2 linked regions of the Astyanax mexicanus genome follow. The protein of the gene in region 2 interacts with the protein of the main gene of each other region in a pairwise test. Links are inferred from orthologs where the notes say so. Each region holds a gene or a part of one and is shown on either strand. Other genes may lie near its edges.

Evidence for each region.
Region 1: the proteins of eif1ad (region 2) and glyr1 interact in binary tests that used the Homo sapiens proteins (3 or more experiments, as listed by UniProt). The two-hybrid records come from large-scale screens. The link is inferred for Astyanax mexicanus from reciprocal best matches to the Homo sapiens genes EIF1AD and GLYR1.

Annotation. Positions count from the first base shown.
Region 1 is NC_064426.1:14,525,799-14,537,802, forward strand, and holds the start of glyr1 (putative oxidoreductase GLYR1), read right to left. Parts: upstream 5,389-12,004; 5' UTR 5,328-5,388; coding exon 5,290-5,327; intron 4,664-5,289; coding exon 4,627-4,663; intron 4,512-4,626; coding exon 4,432-4,511; intron 4,344-4,431; coding exon 4,205-4,343; intron 3,258-4,204; coding exon 3,141-3,257; intron 2,836-3,140; coding exon 2,752-2,835; intron 1-2,751. Other genes in the region: ppl (periplakin), read right to left, coding at 9,877-12,004. UniProt on the Homo sapiens protein: Cytokine-like nuclear factor with chromatin gene reader activity involved in chromatin modification and regulation of gene expression. Acts as a nucleosome-destabilizing factor that is recruited to genes during transcriptional activation.
Region 2 is NC_064417.1:37,667,161-37,679,394, reverse strand, and holds the start of eif1ad (probable RNA-binding protein EIF1AD), read right to left. Parts: upstream 4,403-12,234; 5' UTR 4,261-4,402; intron 1,935-4,260; 5' UTR 1,904-1,934; coding exon 1,817-1,903; intron 1,698-1,816; coding exon 1,589-1,697; intron 1,372-1,588; coding exon 1,263-1,371; intron 879-1,262; coding exon 641-878; 3' UTR 1-640. Other genes in the region: ctsf (cathepsin F), read right to left, coding at 7,226-7,300, 7,520-7,578, 8,382-8,472, 8,827-8,891, 9,543-9,662, 9,804-9,884, 10,008-10,104, 11,093-11,241 and 1 more.

The sequences.
Region 1 (12,004 bases), on a different chromosome or scaffold from region 2:
GCGTTGCGGCTACCGTTGTCAGGAGCCTCGCGGAGTAATACGTACTTGCTGTGCTTGTTGATTTCTTGCTCAGAGATGTTGTTATTTTTCACAGATATTGTGAAGGATTTATTGCTCAGAGTTATTGTTACTGATATAAATAAAGTTTCATTTAGTGCGCCTTATAATCCAGTGCGCCTTGTGTATGGACTAACACTAAAAATAGACCGTTCACTCATCGTGCGCCTTATAATACGGTGCGCCTTATAGTCCGAAAAATACGGTATATTCACATTATCAAACGTTCTGCTAACAACCTCACAAACCTAAACTCTACTTAAACTTCGTTGCCAAATTAGAAATACAAACAGTTTTAGTACTGTAGAGGGGGGCATAACATTTAACACACAGAGACTTCTTACACTAACGCCGCAATCCTAAGAAAACTACAATCCCAGAGGAAGCTGTTTTTCATGGCAGAGACCACAGACTATACATTAAAACACTTAATTACAGTTTACACATCAGGAATAAGCCTAGTCACAATTTCCCTACATTATACTCTAGCTTAACTGGCTCTTAAGGCCTGGCTCTCAAGTAACTATACTAAATGACATTTATGTCCCACAAGCAGAAAAAAAGAAACTGCATTTGTTAAATTTATAAATACAGTAAAAAAAAAAAAAAAAAGGAAGTTTATTTCTGGCAGGTAAGAAACAAAACACCTGTGTTCAGCCCTGCTGTTTCTGCCAGCAGCATGAACAAATAATGACATTTTCTCAAATGTTGAGGTTTTCTCTTAATTTTGACTTGACCAAATATTAAAGATTTAAAGATTGCAGTCATGTTAATTTGCTAAACGTTGTAAATGTTTAACATTTGTTCTGCACATTTTAGTCACAATTTCCATTATCAATAAAATTTGCAAAAAAAAGTAAATAAAAATGAATCATTCAATTAAAAAAAAATTCCATTTTCCACAATCTGCTGAACTAAATATCTGCAAATAAAAAGTAATTGTGTATTATAATGCACAGAAAACTACATCAGTCATCATTTTAATTTAACAAACAGGGGTGTCCTAATCAGTTTTTGGCAACACAATTTCAGTACCTTAATGAGGAAAACACATCGTTACCAACTCCCATGCCACCTGGTGCACTCCTCTTTCTAAACAGCTAGGAACAGAGTTGCCATGTCCAGCAAAAATATTCGTATTCTAATATTTAAATTATGTTTAAACCTACAAAAGCTTAAACTGTGTTGTTAATTGATTCTCAAATAAACTTCCTTCATTACTTCAGATCTTGTTTGAATTTTCACCCACAACTATAGTTTTAAACAAGGTCAATTTGATGGGAAAACCGTGAACGTGAAAGTTAGAACGTAATAATCACGCACCAGAAATCAGTAAATACTGGCACCAACAACTTGGAATTGAAGTGTAAAAAAATGTTCTACCTACTGAAAAGAAAAAAAAAAATTATACATTTATTTCAAATTTTTCTCATTTTCTCCCCCATTTTGCACAGTCAGATACCGAACCCACTCATTAGGACTCTCAACCCCCTCCTCCCCCATCCAGAACGTGCACAGGCTCAGGTAGGGTCGGACTGAATTTTTTTTGGGGCCTAATCTAAGCTTGTGAAACATAAATAGGCAAATTAGGGTGGCCACAGGTATTTCAAACAGAGCAATAACTAAATGCTTTCTAGCAAAATGACACCTTTAAAAAGTAAAAGTAGTAGGCTGATTAAAGGTATATTTATTTTCATCACAGATGTGGAAACTAGTGCCGAGTGTTGCTAAATGCTTAAAGTTCACGTGTTCTTTTAGCAATGTTCTTGTTGGAGTAAAAGCTAAAATAACTTCTGCTTTTCTGTTTAACATCTTCCCACATTTTCTGTGATTGAACTAAAATGAACAATATCTTTAAAGCAATTGTTCAGATCCAATTCTTACGTTTACAAAGAAATAAAACAAATACATAATTTTTTTCAAGTTTTTCTTCTTGTGGCCTGTTATGCTTTCTAATTATATACAGGTGGGCCTTAAGTTTGAAAAGATTAAGAATCCCTGATTTAAACAATACATGCCTTCATATTTATAATACAGCTAAACAGCTTTATTTTAAAGTTTAATTAATATTTTATGCTGACTTACAAGCAAATCAGATCATTGTTTTATTTTAGAATGCTGCAACAATAAATCACATTATTTTGGATGTGCATCCTCTACAAGGACACACTTCTGCACAGTGTTACTGTTGTTTATTGAACTGAACAGGTTTGCAAAAACTATTCTAAAATCAAAATATGCTATGTTCAAAAAGTAATGGCACATTAAATACAATATTCGCACACCCTTAACTAATTTGTGAAATTCAGTAAATAAATTGAATGTCTAAACACGTATACTAAATCTATACTATAATATTTACAAATGTAAATGGCACACAAAAAACTTTCCAATACCAATATCCAATATGTTTTTCACTATATTTTCCTTTGCTCATATTTTCATTTTGTGGGACCTAAAAACATACCTGGATTTATGTTCGAGCAGCATTTATGAGATAAAAGGAAAACTTTTGAGAAAATGTCATTACTTTAAGATGAAAACTTCAAACATAAGATAAACCTGACATACTGCTGCCAGGAACTGAGAGGGGGAAAAGTAAACAAGCAATTTCCCCCCTTTCCTACCTGCCAGAAACAGGCTTCCACAGCACAGTGCAGATTAATCAGGGCAAACTGTGAATTTATCACCTACACTGCTCTCCCATTTGAATCCTGCAACTGTTCCAGCCATCACCCGCTGCACAGAGGACGGTTCTGGGTCAGAGTCAGTTTGATCCTTAAGGGAAAGAGAGATACATTCACCATATACTTAGACTTGACCATATCTTGCTAAATAAAGCCTCAAGCAAGAAGCAGAGCTGCTCATTCAACACACAGCCCTGTGTGCGTTCAAACTGCATAGGCCAAAAAAAAAGAAAAAAATACAAAAACAAAACAAAAGCAATCAAGCGATGATGTGTGAATATGGCAATTCAGATAAGTCCCAGAAGTAAACATTTGACTGAGACCTACAGCAGGTTAATCTCGCACAAAGTTTAAAGCATGTGGCCGGTTTGAAAGATCAAGCACAGTAGTATTAACCTTGTCTGAAGATCCACCCTTAAATGCATCTTCATCATCTTCCTCTATAATCTTCATAGGTTTGGCTGCAGTTTTTCGCCCCTTGTCCGTTTTATTTTTGTCGTCTGAGGCATGTGCCTGCAAAATGAACAACAAGATGAGCTAAGAGGGGTTTCAATGAGACATGGACAATGTTTTGATGCAATTTTTAATGCGGGTCTAAATTATATTATAATAACAGTTTCTGGGTGTATGATGTACACTGTCGATAGTAGATCACCTTGGATAAAAAAGACAAAAGAAACAAATTAAACAAATTAGCATAACAATACAATAAGTACAATAAGTACAGCTAAATGAGAAATTCTTTCAGTTTTATCATCCATTTGATTTTCCTCCTCGTGTTTCTTAAAAGCAAATAAATTACTGCAGATAACAGAGCTCCATTTAGCACAATCTATGTATAAATCACATTCTCATATACTTCAAAACAACAGTCAGCAGCCCTGGTCCTGGAGTCCCAATGACTGGCACATGTTGCGTCTTATGTTATTATTTACAGTCAATTTAACTAAGTAAGATCTTGTTAATGGTGAATTAGCTTGGTTAGGTGTGCTGGGATCAGCAAAGCACAAAACTACCTTGAACAGTTGGCCTCAAGAAGTAGGGTTAATGACCATTGACATACAATCTCACTTCCTAAACAAATTAGCTGAAAAACGTTGAATAGATCAGAATGTTGTAGCAATGGATTTAGTTTACAATTCCTCAGAAGAGGCAAAATCTACCCTATACTATAAAAAGCTGCGTTTATACAAAAAAAATGCCAAGTCCAGGGAGTAAAGAAAACGGGATCTCATCATTCAGGATCTGCAGGTGTGAATGTCCAAGTCTTTACGACATAGTGGGTGGTCCTGTTTAAATGCGTGAGACTATGCATATACAGTTGTGTACTAAACTGTGTGCACCCCTATTAGATGTGTTAATACATTTTAAAAGAGCACCACACCTTAGTTCTGATCTTAATTTCTCACTGCAAAGCAAAATAGAGGTTATCATCTTGTCCATCACTTTGTCACACTTACCTGCTCTTTCCCCTTAGCTTTCTTCAGGTACTCTTCGACAGCGTCAACAGCCTGCTGAAACCGCTTGCCTTTGTTTATCTTGATCATCTCCTCCTTGTGGGGGTGGTACGGCTTCAGCTGTTCAACCTTTATCCAGGCACTGTAGGGAAATGAGGAATATCTCATGTGAACATACACTTATTTGACACAAACAAAAACAGATTAAACAAAAATAAGTTTGTACTCACTGATCCTCAGTCCCGAAAAACTTCACAAAGAAGCATTTTTTGCCTCTGGGCTTCTTTAGGTCCTTTGGGGGGCTGACAACCTGTAATGAGAAGGATGGTTTCAGGATCAGAAGCTATAGATGATGGTAGAGTCACTAAAAGCCACAGGGGCGAGATATGGAGGAGTGGTGGTAGCAGTTTATAGAGTGAACGTACCTTCCCAGGCCAAGGAGGGTACCGGCCAAGCTTTCCCCTAAAACACACGACAAGGAGGGAGGTTAGGTTCAATTAAAGCTTGAAAACACATAAGAACAGGAGCAAAGTTACTTCATGTTGCACAGTTTTTTTTTATTTTAAATATTCCGTTCCACCTTAAAATGACACCGCTACAGTAATCACATTCTGAGCCAGAGGAGCCAGACTGTAGCGGATTTAACTAAAATTTAAGGTGGAACGGAACATTTAAAACCCACGAAGCCAACTCTACCAGCTTTACTAAACGACAACGCAGCTTGGCTGTTAGCTTAGCAAGCCAAGCCCAGCACCTCCACTGCCCACAGGCCCGCATTCCGACCACAGAACCACTAATAGCCACCAGAAACACATTTATAATGCATTAATGTTAAAATTAGAGGGCTGGTGTCTTGTTTTACAGCGGTAATCCGGACCCAGCGCTCACTCCGCAGGTTAGCCTCGTTAGCCAGCTGGCTAAAACTGCCCCTCTCAATGTTTGGGTTCGCGGCTGCTGCTGCTGAACGCCTTTGGCCTAAAGCAGTCCGCGCCGTCAAAACAGCAACAAAGTCGGCGTGTTTAACGAGTCCCGGGCGCTAAAGGAGTTCCACAGCAGAACAGAGCGAGTTTACAACAGCAAAAACTCACCAAACCAAATCCCCGATCCGCAGATGCACCGTCGCCATCTTAACCCTTTACTAAAGACGCACTGAGCGCAGGGGAGACGCACACCCACACACGTCACTACCGTAGATATCCCACTGGGCGGGTCTTCAGAGACCATCGATATCTACACGCAACTAGTTATGGCACGCTAGTTTAGCGGTAATGTGTTAATATTACGGTTAAACTGTGCTCTTTTATTTTAAGTTATTAGAACATTTAGAAAAACATAGAAACAACGTATAATCATGGTTGCATTACATACAAAGAAACCTTTACCTTTTACTGTTACACAATACTGCAGTGTATATATATTTACAGAGTTAACTACTACTACTTCTACTACTACTACTAATAATAAAGATAATAATAAAAACAATGAAAATAACAATAATATTAATAATAACAATAATAATAATAATAATAATAATAATAATAATAATAATAACAAATAATGAATACTTTGCTATATAACTTCAAAACACGGTATAACATATATATATATATATATATACACACTGTTTTTTGTAGCTTTTTTATTGTCATCTTAGCAATGACTGCTCTGAAACTTACTCCCGTGTTAAGCAGAGATAAAGGCATTGTTGCCATGTGGTTTAGCCATACATCTTCATCTGTAATTTCTCAAAAAAAAAAAAAAATTATACTTTTAATATTTACAAAGTGTAAATGTGCTGTGTGTTGTCTAAATGCTGCAGTAGATGCAGTAACGTAATCGGTTTCAGCAATGTTGTACAATAAAGTGGTTTGTAAACCATATATATATATATATATATATATATATATATAAAATACTAATATAGTAATAACTTTTATTTTGACGGCTAGTTAGATGTAACGCCACTGGAAGAACCGGTTTATACATCCATAGACATCGACTGACGCCGTCCGCCATATTGGAGGAGGCAGCCCTGCGCCCCCACTGCATTAATTTACACTGAGGAAGATATTTAATACGCCTTTAAAATCACAAATCTACCAGTTTATACCCAATTTTCACCATTTTGGTTTGTTACAAACAGCAGATATGTAGTTGATTTAGGACGCTGTTATACATTACAAATATGTGCTTTTGTGCTGAAATACTGTACACTTTTCTCTTTAATAAGACCTTTAATAGGACAGACATGGTTTGGCATATTAATAAGTGTATAAATTAATTGATTTTATAATAATATGTACGTACATACCCATATATACATAAACTCACACAATGCGTTTTCTTTATTTTTATGACTATTTACATTGTAGATTCTCACTGAAGGCATCAAAACTATGAATGAACACATGTGGAGTTATGTACTTAACAAAAAAAGTATATAAATAAATATAAAAAATTATATTCTAGTTTCTTCAAAATAGCCACCCTTTGCTCTGATTGCTGCTTTGCATGCTCTTGGCATCATTCTCTCAATAAGCTTCAAGAGGTGGTCACCTGAAATGGTTTTCCAACAGTCTTGAAGGAAGCAGGTGTTTAGCACTTGTTGCCCCTTTTCCTTCATTCTGTGGTCCAGCTCACCCCAAACCATCTGGATTGGGTTCAGGTCCGGTGACTGTGGAGGCCAGGTCATTTTTTGTTAAGTTTATAACTCCACGTGTTCATTCATAGCGCCAATCTAAATCTCTTAGCGCCAATCCCGGAACCGGTTCAGGGAGAAGGTTCTGTCTCTCAGCCACTGACCTAGCAAAATCCACCGGAGGTTGGTAGTCCAGGTCCAGAAAATAAAAATCCACCCTGGATGGGATTTTTTTTTAAACTATTGTAAACAGAAATGTTTTAAACATACACCTACCTATCTCCATTGTACTTAATTGGTGGTGTTCCATAGACAAATTCCAACCACTTGTTGCATAGATCTGAATTACTGGGCAAAGCATATAACACTGATGTTTTATTTGCACAAATAACACAGGAACAAACTGCCATTCTCTTCCTAGCGCTGTTAGTTCCTATTTGACAAGATGTGCTTTGCTGTGTTGGCTTCTGCGCTGCCTGTGGGTGGTCGTGAGACAAGGTGGGCAAGGCCATGAATACTAATTCACGGGTTGACGTAGATGGCAATGGAGATTGAGGAAGAGTTTCATGTGCAGCATCATATACAACTCAGAGAGTCCTATTATATTATATTTATAAAGAACAAGACATTTTTTTAAATATTTTCTGCCACTGGCTCCTTAGTGAGGAGAATACTAATATCAAACCTGACACAAATATCCATTATTTTTGAGAGAATATTTTTTTTTTGTGTTGCATAGCTTTTTTTTTAAAATATGATAAATTAAGGTTTTGAATTAATAAAATAACTTGTATATATGATATTTTGCCTAAATAAGAATAAAAATAACAATGTAATATTGTTGCATTGTATTCTTTTTATGATGATCGGAGCTAAACAATACATTGACTAAATATAGGTAAAACTAACCAAAAAGTGGAGCAGAGTTTCAGGGTAAGAAACACAAAATTAAAAGTTGCTACTGATATCCTTTTAAAACAGAGGATAGTACTTTACATGACACTCTCTGCATGAATGAGGCTGAAACAGACCACACATCCCTTTGAAGAGTATACACAAGTGCATTTAATGTCATTTATTTGACACATTAACACTTTTGTACAAACACAAGTTTTCCTTCAAATTAAATATTAGATTTATTATTAAATATATAAAAAAAGTTAAATATTAAATATGTTAAATATTAAATACAGGGCTTGAGACCAATTATTTGCACTGGTTGCGCAGGAGACTTTTATTATGGCATGTAGCGTAGTAGATTAGCTGCAATAACTAACGGCAAACCGGCGACGCTAACTGACGTTAACAGTGTTTTTTAATCATAGGTTGATTTCTTAGTAGGGGTGTGCCATGTCGTGTCGTACACGATAATATCGTCAACATTTTTGAATATTGTATTGAATATCGTATTATTTCCTGAAATATCGTGCCATATCACCCACCCCTAAAAGAAAATTCAGACTGTTCTCATTTCTCATTATATATCTACTAGAGACAGATTATATCATTTATTTTACTTTAGTCCTGGATATATGGAGTGCATTATTATTATCATGACATTCTGGATCATTGACTTCTGTTATAAATCTGATAAAATTGTTGTACTTCTAAATATCTTAATTAGGGGTGTGCCATATCATGCCTTTTCGTATGCAATAATAAAATTACAAAATTGTAATTTTGTTGCAGGAGTGTATTCTTGAAATATATATTTTTAATACAGTGTTTTGTCATATCGCCAAGAGTATCATTATCGTGAAAATGCCATGAAATATCGTGATATTATTTTAGGGCCATATCGCCCACCCCTATTTCTTAGTACTGGTTAGAGTGGGTAGGATCTGTGGTTTGATATTCGATGTGGATTATGGCTGAAGTTCACCTGAGATAGTTACTTATTATTACCTTCACAATGCCGGACAGCAGCTGAAAGCCCGATGCTAGCTAGGCTAACAGACTGCAGATCTTAATGGAGATGGCTAACAGCTAACTGGCGATGCCAGCTGTATTTCCGAACTAAATTAATTGCTGTTTTTACCAACAGATGGGTGTGTTTGTGCTGGTTAGTGTTTGTAGATCCTGTGGTTTTATAGAATATTTGAATTATGACGATAGTTTAATCCAGTTTGTAGTTAATACCTTTACAACACCAGAATACAGTTGTCAGCTAAAGTTTACTCAGTCAGCCGCAGACTGAAGCTGCTGGGGGTTCAGGGTAAACTGTGGAACTGGAATCCGGATCAGTGATGCGTTTTGTGTTAACATCATGGCGGGTTTATTTTCCAGCTCAAGCTGTGGACTGGAATATGGATTGGTAAGTGGATCGGACACACTCGCCTGATTTACGTTTCGTTAAATTACGTCAATATCGGCCCCGATATTGTATCGGATCGGTCCCATCTCTATATATTATATTTGAACCTAGTAATATGACGAGTCAGAAAGGCCTCATTTACATACACTCCTCTCTGTGAACTTAAACTTACTTTGAACACCCCTCTTACCAGAAGTTTATCACCCCGACCTTTACTGTAGTCCAAGCCTTCATCTTTATTATTTACTCTGCTACTGATAATAATTTGATATATGGGTAACCTTCAAATGCAGAAAGAAGACATGAAAACATGGTACTCCAGTTTGCCCACATGTATTTTATTTTGAAAAACAGTAGAAACACAGGTTCATCTGATAGTGGTTAATAAAGGAACATTCAAAGTGTCATGAGGACGTACTGTAGCATACAAAACATGCTGTATTTGAAAATGGATGGTTTCGCTAAGTAGCCTATTTATTAAGAACATGTTAAGGACAGTCCCAGATAACACTCAGCCCGATCAATCAGAACGCCTTCAAGAAGAACAAAAAGGTGTTTTAGCCTAGATATTCTCCCTATTAGCTCAAAAATCAGAAACCAAAGCAGAGAACAGACAGGTGATATTATTGTCTCTATAATCTGAAAACCCACAGAAAATAATAAGAACTTTAAAGAAGTAAAGTGTCAGAATAAAATAAAACTAGACAAAAACATATTGGGTGATTATTTGCTCTTCCCCGAAATCATGACGCCAAACTCCTGGATGCTGATCTCTTTGTTCTTGTACTGCTGTAGCTGACGGTTTGTGATGTTTCCAGACCGTAGGGCATCCTCGATGGAGAACTTCTTGCCTGATTTTCTGTCATGAAGAACAGACGTTTCCCCGTTTGGACCCTTGTTGGTGATCTCTTCCCAGTCGCATTCTTGACTCTGGAGGTTGACGAACATCTTCCAGTCGATCAGGCCCAGCTTGTATGCCTCTTCGGGCCGCATCTCTTTTCCGGTGTCTGGATCGATGACGACAATGGAGCGGCGGAGATGGCTTTCTCTTTGCTCTCTCTTCACCCTTACTGTAGAAAGGTTCTTCTGTAGCCTTTCGATTTCTTCTTCTTTCTCTGTCGTGATGCGTCTCAGGTCAGACAGCTCTTTCTGTAGAGACGCTACCCGGATTTCAAGGTTCTTGCTGCTGTCCACTGGAAGAGACTCTGTGATCTGTCTGGTTTCCTTTGTGGTGATCTGGATCTCAGCCTGAAGTTTCCGAATTTCGTTCTGGAGACGTTGGTTCTCCTGCTGGAGTCTGTTGCTCTCATCACGGATGTAGTCCAGCTCTTTAGACGACTTTGTGTTTGTGAACTCGATTTCGGTCAGTCTGGACGTGATAGTGGTAAGCTCCAGGTCCAATTCTTGCCGGCGTCTTGTTTCTTCCTCAAGGCTTCTCTTCAGCCTCTCGATTTCAAGTTCAGCTTCGGGATCTTTCTCGACCTGAACCTTCTCTGTGCGGACAACTTTTTCGCGGACCTCTGTCCTCTCGAGTGTTTCTTGTTTCTGAATCAGAGCATTGTACTCTTTCTCCAGAAGGACGCGCTTGTGCCTCTCTTCCTCAACCTGGAGCCGTAGGATGGAATGTTCTTTCTCCTGCTGAGGATCTTGCTGCAGGACCACCTTTTGTTTCACTGTGACCTTCTCTCTGTTCTCCTTGTCCCTGATCTCCAGCTCATTGAGCCGAACTCTCAACCTCTGAATTTCCAGCTCAGCGTCTCTACGGGCTCTGCGTTCACGCTCAAGTTCCTCCAGCTGGAGCTCAAGATCATTCTTTAGACGTTGAAGCCTGACCAGCTCCTCTTTCAAGAGCTCCCTCTGTCGCACTTCATTGTTAATCTTTTCAGTGAAGGTGTCACATTCAGATCTCAAGACTGGATCCTGCTCCATCTTCACCACCTCTTGCTGCACAACCTTCTCCCTAACCTGAGACAAGTCAATCTTCCTAATCCTGATCTTCTCTTCACCGGAGGCTCGTTCTCTCTCCAGGTCCAAACGCTTCCTCTGTTCCTCAGCAAGTTTCCGCTTAAGGGTTTCAATTTCTTCTTTGGTTTTAGGGTCCTCTCTGTACTGGAGGACCTCATTAACCACCTCTTTGGTCTGAATCTGAGGCTTGGTGTCTTTCCACCTCTGAATCTCATCCCTCATTTGGATGATCTCAAGTTCACACTTCTCTGTCTGATGGGTCTTGTCCACAATTTCATTTCTGAGTTTCTCCAGCTCTCTTTCAGTTTCAGGGTCAGTCTTGTACCTGATCACCTCCTTGATGATTTCCTTGTATTCGATCTGTGGGCCTCTGTTCTTCAGCACTATCAGCTCGTCCTGGAAGGACTTCAGCTGAAGTTCAGAATCTCTGCACCTTCTCTGCTGTTCCACAAGTTCTAGTCTGAGATTGGCCACCTCGGTTTCTGCCTTGGGATCTGGTCTAACAATCTCACGCACCTTCTCTTGGATGATAACCTTTGACTTTTCCTCCTCAAGGCTTGTGATCTTCCGCTGAATGTCAGTTCTCTCTCTCTGAGAGGACATTCGTTTTGCCTTTTCATCCTCGAGCTGCCTTCTCAGGTTTTCAACCTCCCTCTCCAGGGCAATGTCTTTCTCCACCTTAAGAACCTCTCGAATGGAGATTTTCTCCTCAGCCATGGCCTTTTCCTTCTCCAGGCGCCTCAGTTTCTCTTGCAGGAATCGAAGCTCATCCTCAAGCTGTTTTCGGTTATCAATTTCCTTCTGCTTCCGCTCAAGGAGCAATCTGTACTCGCTCTCAAGCTGAGGATCATTTTGAATCTTGATGACTTCTTCCTCTTTGATAACC
Region 2 (12,234 bases):
ATGTACATACAATATGATACAAAAAAAGCATTTGTGAATATAAGGAATCAGATTGAAATGTATTATACACTATGGGTCAGTTTTCCATACAGGGATTAAGTCTAGTCATAAGATAGATTTTCCATATTCACATCTGCCCCATGAAGGCTATTTTTAAGTCATTATATTTCCATCTCAGCAATTAAGGGATTAATGCAAGCTGCTTTACCCAAATCAAACCAAATTTTAACAAGTTTACTGAATGTAACAATACAGATTCCAGTTGATGACATGGATTAAAGTTTGGGCTTAATCATTGGTTACCAATCGTAGTCCTGGAGGACCACTGCCCTGCAGGTTTTAGGTGTTTTCCCCTAATTTTAACCCACCTGACCAACTAATGAACTAACAGACGAGTCCTTGCTTAAACAATCTGTGCATTCTCAACTCAAGACCTGGTTGACAAGCAATGATTTAAATAAAACAGCATTTTGTGTCAGAAACTCTCCCATGCTTAGATTAACTGGTTACATGTATAAACCAGAAAGTAATAAATCACTGTCCAAAAATCAAGGGAAATTGAAGTTTGCATCTTGTGTAAGTTTATAAACATGTCCACAGCATGAAATTAACCCTTCATTTAAAGTCCCAAAATTTTCACTTAATGGTTCTCTGATCCTTCTTCATCTTCTTCCTCATCCTCATCATCATCTTCATCAGAGTCTTCTTCACTTTCACTGTAGTGAACCGTGGCTCGGTTTGTGTTCACAAAAAGGTCACTGTCATCCTCAGAGTCACTGCCGCTGCTCTCTTCTTCCTGCTCCTCACTGTGGTCCTGTCCGTTCTGTGGTTCTTCCTTTACCTCCTCAGACTCGCCACCTGCCTCGAAACCTTTTGGCCTGTATGACACATTAATCAGTTTAGTATACTGCCAAATTTTAGATCAAAGTACATTTCTATTATACAGGTATACTGGACAACAAATGTGAAGTCACAAACAAAACCTTTAGATTAGACTCACAGTTAATTATGTATTTATCACACACAGAAATCAGAATGTTTAAGTTATGTTATGCTGAGCCATGGAAATTCAGTTTCTGGTTTCTTTATGTACTGGTATTAACAGATATGTGCAGAAAAAAATACCAGTTTACACCAACCCACATAAGTTTCCATCTCTATTTACCCTGCCAAAATATAAACAAAATGATATCTACTGAATGACAATATAGACCAGCCAATCAAAGGAATCTACATCCCAAATGTGATCATTTTGTACTTACCAGACACCCAGTTTCCTCAGGTACTGGATATGGTCTCTATAGAGTATAAAGCTTATCTCTCCTTTCACTTTGTCTCCCTCTTCAATAGGGTCTACGATCACAAAATCACCTGCAAGAAATAACACAGCCAAAAAATGATTTGGTAAATATTTTAAAATAACCTTCTTGGTCCCTGCTTGTCTCAACACACCTGATTCAACTCTTTATAGAGTTGTTTTAAAGCAGGGAATCCTCTAAAATGTGCAGGGCAGGGGTGTGCCAGGATCAGGACTAAGAAACACTAACACATTTTAAGAATTCTAATGGAGCCAGGCCTTAAAACCAACCTCTTTTGATCCAGATGTTCTTACGAAACTTTGTGGGCATGCTCAGCAGAAACTTCTCACCACTCTCAGTTACGGCCTCATGGAGGTTGTTGCCATTGCTTCCCTGGATCTGCAAGAGAGAGATTACACTTTAACTGAATAAAGAGTTTAAAGAGTTCTTATTTACAACAGTGCGCTGTTCTTCCTACATTATTTATGAGTAGAGATATTAAGCTTGCCCTGGCTTACCCTCATGATCTGCTGGCTCTCACTGGGTGTTACGTAGTCTTGAAGAACCTCCTTGACAACATGTTTGCGTTTGGTTGCTCGGGACATGTTTGACAGTGAGAACGGTGATATCTGATGTCTGTGAAAGTAAAATTATTTAGGCAAAAATTAGCAAAATTTGCAACAGCTCTTCACAGACCCACTTTTTTTTTATTTAGTCCTTCCAAAAATGCACTAAATTGGCAAAGGCATTCATTCACTCATCCAAATCATTGAACTCAATGTGTTGCTCTCAGGAGCTCAGTAAATTCCAGCATGGTACTGTGATAGGATGCCTCCTGTGCAATATGTCCAGTCGTTAAATTCCCCACAACTAAATATTCCACAGTCAATTGTCAGTGGTGCTATAACAAATGTAACAAAGTGCCTGGGATTGACAGCAACTCACTTTGTAAGTGTAAAATAAAAGATGGAGCTCAAAAGATGCTGAGAAGCATAATGTGCAGAGGTTACATCTTTCTTCAGAGTCATTCACTACAGACCTCCAAAATTAATGTGGTCTTCAAAATATATGTGTGTAATATACAATGTACGTAATAAACATGACAAAATATTTTAAGGTATTTCACTATTCTTTTTTACAGAACTAATTGTCAAAACTAGTTTTATAGAATGGAAAACATTTCATTAAAGCTGTAGAATTAAGATAAATGGAACAGAATTAAACAAAGCTATATATATATATATATATATATATATATATATATATTAGGGGTGGGAATCGATTACTATCTCACGATTCGATTCGATTCCGATTTTGGGGGCCACGATTCGATTCAAAATCGATTTTTGATTCAAAACGATTTGAATTATAAAAATTTCTGCTTCTGGCTTATGAATCTTATTGAAAAAAAAACCCTCCATAATATACACTGGTCCTGGAGCAAGTAATGTGTTACAAAAACAATAAAATGTGCAGGAATGTGGGTCCTCAGTGACAGAGGAATCACTGGGATATCACAATGACGTTAATGAACAATAAATAAATAATAAATAACACTGCTTTATTACCAGGCTACTAGCGGTGGTGTGTAGGTGACGCTGCTGGGCTGATGTGATGATAGCAGTGGAGCGCTAAAGTTCAGGAGCAGCTGCTGATTAACTAGTTAATTTAAGGTCGTTGTATTTCTTCAGAAAGGGGGCAGGAGGTGGAGAAATTAATTCATATTGTCCATTCCTTAATTCCTCTGTGATGAGGAGCTGAAATGAGCTCTGATTAGCTTATTGTTATTTTTCCGTTCCGCCTTAAATGCTGCAGCCCGCAGCCACCTGTAGCGTTATTTAAGGTGGAACTGGAAAGTTAGCTTGTTAGCTAGCTAACAGTTACTGAAACTAACTACTAGCGATCTTTTTTATGCTTGTTATGAAGCATTCTGCCATAAAACATTAAAACTACACGTTAATCTAAGGTAATATAATGCTTGTTCTGCCATCTTACCGGTGATTCTCAAACACCTACTACGCTCTGTGTGGGTCTGGAAGACCTCGGTTTGAAGGGACAAGCGGGTTGCCAGGTCCAACAAAAATACCCAGCCCAAAATCAGTCCAAAACCCGCCCCTCAGAATCGATTTTGGGACATTTTAAATCGATTCTGAATCGTAGTAAATGAGAATCAAGATTCTTATGTGAATCGATTTTTTGGCACACCTCTAATATATATATATATATATATATATATATATATATACATATACATACGTGTATATACACACACACATTTTATCTACCTTAAAAATGAGCTAGTTTTATCTCCAGCACTAAACCAGCACACCCCTGTAAATAAGTTTTCCCTCACTGTCCTGTGATGCTCTCAGGATGTTCAGTTTGTGTCACTTAGGGACTTATGAGTTAAAGGACAAAAAAGAACTTCAAGGAACTTTACACATCTTTTAAAGATGCTGTGTCCCATACATCACCATGGGTACTTCTGGGATATTTGAAAAGGCTTAATTATAGTTATATTTCTTAACTAAAAGCATCCAGCAACTGTTCTGATTTTTTAAATAATTAAATAAGAAATTGATATACAGCAAACTGTTCCCTTAAATTGATTTCCTACCCCCATATTTACAAATCTTGTTCACAGCTGGATCTGTAGCCTAGCTAACTTCTTCTCTAGCTAGTGAACTTCACCCAGGCCCCAACATCAGCTTCTCCTCTGCCTAACACAGACGACAGAAGACGTTAAAGATACAATTATAATAATCTACAGATCTGTGCGAGAGAATATTTAATGAACAGTTCTTATAGAACACTGCAGTTCAAACTGACGTGCCAACAGAGAATTTACTAGAACAGCTAGCTGCTGGTTAGCCGCTTAGCTAATAACATCTTAAAATAACTGAAAGAAACAGCCTAAACCCACTTTCCCTCCAGAAAATCGTACATTTTTAAATCCACCTACCTAGAAACTCTATATAAGGCTGTGAATGTGTTCTGTGTGGTTTTATTTGGTGCATCGAGAAGAAGTGAACACGTCCTGTAGCTCCTGAACGCGTCGAGCGCATGTGCTGCTCGTTTCCTGCGGCTCCCGTTTGTAACGTGCGATAGCCTTGTGGGTAATGTAGTCAGAATCAGGCGCTCAAAACTACAACGCTCCACATTTTTCTGTAATTACAGCTCTGGAAAAAAATAAGAGACCACTTCAGTTTCTGAGTCAGTTTCTCTGGTTTTGCTATTTATGCTATTTATATGTTTGAGTAAAATGAACATTGCTGTTTTATTCTATAAACTACGGACCTTTCTTACAAATTCCAAATAAAAATATTGTCATTTAGAGCATTTATTTGAAGAAAACGAGAAATAGCTGAAAAGAAAAAACAGATTCAGAGCTTTCAGACTTCAAATAATGCAAAGAAAACTAATATATCAAAATGACTTGATGTCATTTTGATATATTAGTGTCTGAAAATAATGACGTACTTTCTCAAAATAATGATTTAGTATTTCAAAATAATGACATACTTTCCAAATAATAGTATCTCGAAATAATAAATTAGTATCTCAAAATAATGATTTATTATCGAAACATAATGACATACTTTTAAAATAATGAGATAGTATCTCAAAATATAAATTAGTATCTCAAAATAATGACATACTTTTAAAATAATGAGATAGCATCTCAAAATAATTAAATAGTATCTCACAACATTGACTCAGTATCTTAAAATAATGAGATAGTATCTCAAAAAAAAAGAATACTTTCTCAAAATAATGAGACAGTATCTCAAAATAACGAAATAGTAGTCAATATTTTGAGTTACAGAAAAATAATCCACGCCTTTGAACCTGTGTGGGCGCTACAAAGGCAGAAATGACCGCAATAAAAGCATTTTTTAAATATTAGGATTTTTTTATAAAAAGAAACAAATTAAGCAGGACAGGTATGTTCCATTAATTTAGAGGAGCACATTTCAGCTATTAATTAAATAAACATATGGGTTTAGTGCCTTTTTAATACTGAAGACATTAAAGATACACAGGAACATATAAAAGTAGTCAGAGAGTTCTTCAAATTATTGTTGCAATCCAAAGAGTTTATGGAATCCTGTAGAGAAAAAAAACAACACAAACATTTGGGAGATTTGGAACTTTTATTCAGCAGTTTGTTCTAACATTTATGACCATGGACCATGCTTGTCAGTCTTTGAAACCATGCAATAAACAGCATATATTTGCAAAGCAATCAGAAACACATAATACATTATTAATAGTATTGTGCTGTACTGAGTAGTGATGAGTCATGACCTTTGAATACCTTTGAGTTACTTAAAGTGCATTTTAGACCAACAGCAGTTCTGAAGTTTATTCTCAGTTATCATGAAAGAAATACTGCACACATCTGTAAACATTCAGCCCATATCTTCACATTTTCCTATTTAAAATGTTCAGCACACATATGGAGCACCACAGGAGGATATTAATGAATTAATTATTAGTGTTATTAATAACCCTGACTAAATGAAAAAGCACTCAGCAGTGTTTAATGTCTGCTGAACAGCTTCCAGAATCAGTAGCATTACACAGTCCAGCGAGCCCAATTATGACACAGCAATACGGAAATTAATTTCACCCTCTGAATCATCAACACCATGAACTAAAAAAAAGAGAACAATCCCCCCTTCATAAAACCCAGAAGCAAATATTTTCTACAATCTCACTCATTTCTTTCATCATTTCTTCCTGAAACATTATTTAAATATAAGTTTAAAAGTTAGCTCACACAATTAGTAAATAAAAACAAAATAAAACATCAGTATCTAAAAAGATTTAATCTAAGACAATTGTTAAAGAAGGTTTCTTTTTCAAAGCAACTGACTTTATGTAGATCAGCAGGTTGCATGTTCTGTTTGTAACAGAAATAAGAAGAGCTGCTGATGGATCAGCTAAGTTTTCTTTTCTCTCTGCTGGTCCCCTGTTTAAAACAACCAATTCTAACCAATCTAAGCACATGTGCTAACTGTGAGCACAGGATCTAAGTACAGGTACACTGTAGTGCTGTAAAACCTGTTTTTCCCACTAAAACCTCACTGACTAGTTCATGGTTAAAACAAACAAAAAAAATCTAAGCAAAGAACATTTGATCTAGGGCTGTCATTTCTCTTGAGTAACATTTTTAAATAAAACATTTGTTAATTAAAAATAAAGCTGATAGCTGTAAACTGCATGACAATGGAATTTGATCTCACCCATGCCATATCATGTTTTTGGTGTTTTTAAAAGCATCCATTTCATCCTTAACTATTTATGTTTTTGATAATCTGAAATTCCTTTCTTTGAAAGTCCTTTTCTTACTGATTTGCCATAATTACTTTGGTATTTGTCACAATAATTACTAATTATCTGTTACTAATATAGTCTATAGTGACATAATAGACAGTGACAGACTAATTTACGATTGGGGATTGGGAGCATTTAACATTAAAATAAGTACTTGTTCTGTCTACATTCTAGAGTCTAAAATGCTGCATATTAAATATGAGTTTAACAAAACGGTGAGATGGTGAGAAGGTGCTACACCAGCATGGTCAGAAAGGACCATCACAGATGGGTGAGTCTGTGGGCAAAATTGCAGGTGTGAAAAAGCCTATTGACACTATTTTTTTAAACGAAAAGAGGCATGGTAATCCTCCTACAATAACATGCCCTAGAGATGAATACTTCACAAGTCACAGCTTGAGCTAGTGAGAACAACACGCTGATGATGCTAATTATATATGACTGCTTGTGTGTACGTGTGTGTGTGTGTGTGTGTACGGCCACAAATATCCACTTAAACGAGAGTATTATTGTTAATGTGTATGAATGAACATGTTCCTGATTTGTGTTTGTGTCTGTCAGCACTGTGTACACTCTAGAGTTTACTCCTAGTTAACCACCGCAGACGAACACATCTTGTTGATTCCACACAGTCTGGATCCTTTGTACAGGTAGTAGTAACCCTGAGGGGAAAAAAACAAAAGTATTTTTATTAAATTATTCTTAGATTTAATATTAAAATAAAATAATTAGTAAAAAGATTCTTGCTAGAATTACCTAGCAAATGTATTACATTTTTAACTATAGATACTGTAGTTGAGCTGTAGTCAGTAGAAAAGCTACACTTCAGATTAAAGGAAAGGGCCAGCTCAGGGCCAAATCAGGTCCAGCGTGAGACTCACCTGCTCTCCATAGTCTTCTCCCCAGCTGTTCTTAATGGCCCAGAAGGGAATGCCATTGCCTGTGCACAGGTACAGACAAATGTTAAACTTGTGAAGGAAAAATGCACATATTTTCTATTCTAGTTACCATACACTCTATTTAGAACTGTATATTTATTTGACAATAGTGGAATAAGGAAAATATCCTTAAACATTATAGTATTATATAATATTAGTAATTGCTGTACAAGTGTTACACACGTCTTGTGTACTCTTACTACACAAGACGTGTTTGAAAAAACCTGCATGTCTGAACAAAAATGCATCCCGCAGATATGGATGAAGATGAGGATAGTTGTGAGATTTAGTAAATTGCTCTTTGGCAATTATATTTCCTAATATTTTTAATATAAGAACTTTAAAAGGGCATGTCCAAATCTAAAGGAGTTTAATCAGAAAAAAAAACTGACTAATTGTTTATCCCATTTTACACAACTTTTTTGCTGCCAGTAATTAAAATTGTGTGGACATGTCATGGTTAATGAACAAACACAATTGGCTTAGTATAGCGGACAGCCCAGGACTGACCTGCTCTCTAAAACAGGTCTACAATAACTTCAAATACAATCTTGTTGCATTAACCTACATCATACTTTGAGGGTCAGTTTCTCTGACATGGATTAAGGCTAGTCTTAATTAAATGAATTATGTGACTAGGCTTAATCCCTGTCTGAGAAACCGACCCTAATAGAGATTTTTAATTCTCATTTTCAGTTATCATTTCAGAGACACAACATTTGTTAAGACAGAAAATGTAGTCGAGGTTTTTGAATGTCAATTTCACAAGTAAAACTGTTACAAAAAGAAATAAAACAGCTCTTACGTTCTCCAAATCCAACCAGCAGCACAGCGTGATCAATCATCCAGGGGTTGCAGAATATCTTCAGGGGGTGAGAGACTCCTTTTCTGTAGAACTATAACAACATGGACAGAGTATAAAAGCAGACTGTATTATTTTACTGTTCATAAAATACATTATATTAAGGGTTAGGGCTTGTAGATTAAACACAAACTATGTCGCTATTTAAACAGAGGAGAATTTCAGGATTTAGAACAGTCCAGACGGCAACCAAGTAAACTTCCCATAGCCTTTGACCCACACTGTAAAATGTGCACATTCTTATTATAGATTAAGTCTACAGCTACATTAATTTTAAATCCAATATAATTTTATGGTCAAACATTACAGTTTAACACAACATCCAAACAAAATGGCAACACAGTGGAAGAATATCGGTGATATCAAGCAATAATAAGCTAGAAGTTACCTGCATGGCAAAAGCATTGAGGGCAGCTGAAACAGGGCCGTTCTCAACCAGCCATGCAGCAATATCTGAAACACACAATCGAAATTGTTAGATTACTTAACTTTCTTATTCAAGAAGTTATTCTTCTTCTACAATACAATGTATTAACCATTATTTAAATTTTAGGATGTGGTGTACAATACATATAAAAGTTTATACTCTAGGCATGCTTTTTTGTGATACATTTCAAATTGGTGTTTGACTCCACATTTGTCCTTGTGTTGTTTACAGTTGACTTTACTGCACTTTTACTATAAAACTTTAGCTGTCAATTTAAAGCAGACTAAATAAACTGTCAAATAACCTGTACTGGACTGTCTGGGCCTCATTTTCACTTATCTATGCATTTGAGTACTAGGGCAGTTTTGACTACTGTATCAAATAATTAAAAAAAACATTATTGATTAGTAATGAATAATTCTGAAATGATAATGATGAATTATCATTTTGAATTTCAATATTCCTTCTAATTATTATATTCTGTCTAATTATGACTATTCAATCAGTAATACTATATATTAATTATGACAATTTATTTTAAATATATACTACAGTCAACCAGATACAGTGCATTGATTACTTGATTCGTTGTGATAAGGACTGGATTACCAGCCTACTAATATAATCAAAAGAGACAGTCCTACACATTTACACCTATTAGTTTCTCTCTCTCTCACCATTCTCATCCTTGGACAGTTCTACTGAGCTGTTGATGTATGCCGCCACTTTTCCAGAAGTAAAGCCACAGCTCTGCTTGTGTCCGGTGTAGGTGTAGTCTGTCTCAGTCTCCAGACCTCCTGCAAAGGCATCAAGACAGGTTAGCAATTTTCTATGAGGCAAAAACACTTTCTGTGGCATTATGTTTATGCTACTTTACAAATGACCTGTGGGTTTCTTTCAAACTGACCTACTCTTCACCTTTTAATTTAAATTCTTACCCAGGTTTTCAATAGCTTCATATGCATTAGATGGAAGTCCACCCCCACAAGCCTGGTCCAGTTTATCACAGTCCACCAGCTCTGTAACAGACAAAGTCATATACCACTTATGACATATAATTTTTACATAAACAAAATCAAACATGGCAGTATGGTGTAAAAATGTGAATGTTTCAGAGTTCACTAGTGTTTTTTTTTTCTTACCTTGCTCTGAGAGGGACAACAGCTGTCCAGTCTTTTTGAACCACTGGCCTTCAATGTTTCCAGTGACAGAGAAAGCCCAGCAGGAGCCACACATCCCCTAAAACACACACATACACACAAACAAACAAACACATACACACATCAATCATAGTGAATATTATGCAGTTTTTGGAGCTGCCAGTGATTGTACTTGTCAGACTAGTTTTCACTACAGAAATTGTTGTGTGGTTAAGGCAAAGGGTGAAATTTGTGTAACGCATGCATAAGGCTTTACACAATTTGCTGTAAATTCCTGAGAAACAACATAATCTAACAAAAAAAATAATGTAACAAAAACATCTGTAAATATCACACTAGTAAAATGCAGAGATATTGCAATAATTAATAATTTAGGAATCCAGTTTTGGGAAAACATTTTTTTAATGACATTTTTCATGCAATTCCATACATGACAACTACAATGCCTGTATAGTAAAGCCCCTCAGTGTAAATTGGTTGGTTTTACAACTGATATCTAGATGTATTATTGGCAAATCTTTACTTTAAGATGCAAAGCCCTTTATGAATATTTTTACCAAGACCAAAAGTGAGGCTCATAGTTTTATATCTGCCCTCTGAGATGAGCTGATTATTAAATAGAAAGTAAACAAAAAATGAGTGCACATATGTATTACATATATAAACATGTGCATATAAATAGTATTGCTTTTCATGCTGATTTTAAACTGAATTTACTTAAACTAAGCAGCAGGTAAGTCTGTGTCTCAAGCATGGGTCTTTATTCATTAATGACAATATTTGGTCCAGGCTTAATAGCTTAAACTTTCTAAACTCACTAATATTTCCAGGACCTTTTTTATCACTTTCCACGAGTCTAGAAAAACGTCCAGGCTTTTCAGATCTTCCAGTGCTTATGGGAACCCTGCTAACTGATTCACCTGGCTGTGAATTCTAATAAGGTTATGAATGAATTCATTTAAATATAGGAGTCCAGTGATTCATCAGCTGATTTATAATTAAAACCTATGCTCCCAAAGTTTCATCTGGTAAAAACTATTCCTTCAGGTTGATTCATGTTCCCTGACCTGGTTCTTGACGGGGCTGACGGCTCCGTGCTCTCTCCAGTCCCAGCTCTCTGCTGCTGCTTTGCTGGCTGGGGCTGCTGGCTTCAATTTTTTCTGCAGGCTCCACTGGCTCAGCATGGGGTTCAGGTACATCATTCGAAACTCATCCTCTAAAACAAAAGAGACAGGGGAAAGAGAGAATGGTCAAGAAAGAGAGACAGCTTTTAGGTCTGCAGGAAAGTAACACTATTGTAATTATGTAAACGGGACTAAAAGTGCTAAAACTGGTCCTAGAAGGTATTAGCACTTAGTTAAACTCCTGAAAATAATGGTTCCTAAAAAAATATTGGATTAAACAAACAAGATTATTATTATTATTATTCAGGTCACAGTGTTGGGTAGTTCTTACAGATGTTGCTCTACCTGCTTCAGCAAAGGTATATAGTGCAGTAACACTGGTGTATCAAGTCAGGGGTAGCACTGATAGAGATGCTACTCTCTTCATTACAAAACAGTGACGCACCAAAGTACGGTAATAACCGAAGCTGTTATTTTACAGTTAATAAATGATACATAATAATTAGGAGCAAAATGATGTTGTTTATAGAATCTGCTCTGACCTCTGGTTATGCAGTGGCTACTTAATTATCTGATTAGCTGGATCAAGAGTATTAAAGCAGGTTAAACATTAAAGAAACAGGAAATACGTCCAGGGCCAGAGACAGGAAGGCTGTTCTGTGGTATCGCTTCAAAGAACCCTTTCTGACGCTGATTCTTAACAGACTGCATTAGTGATCGCATTACAAACCAATGACATTAGATAATCCATTAGATAACACACTCATACACGCACAAATACACACAAACCTGTGAGGTCGCTGAACTTCGTAACACCATACTCAGCCGTGCCCTGATCCAAAGACTGCAGGGTTTCTGCTGTTTTCAGATTCTGCTGGAAAATACGCAGCCGTTTCTGAGCCTCTGAAGGGGTCAACAGGTCAAAAGGATTTATTTAAATTCAGTTTTCAGTTTAAATAAACATGTACATGAGCCTGGGTGTAACGGGTGTAACTTTAAAGCAAAATAATAATATTTTTATTTTAATGCATGTTGGTACACTTGTGATGAAATCAGGGAATAAATTTTAAACACTGCACTAAATA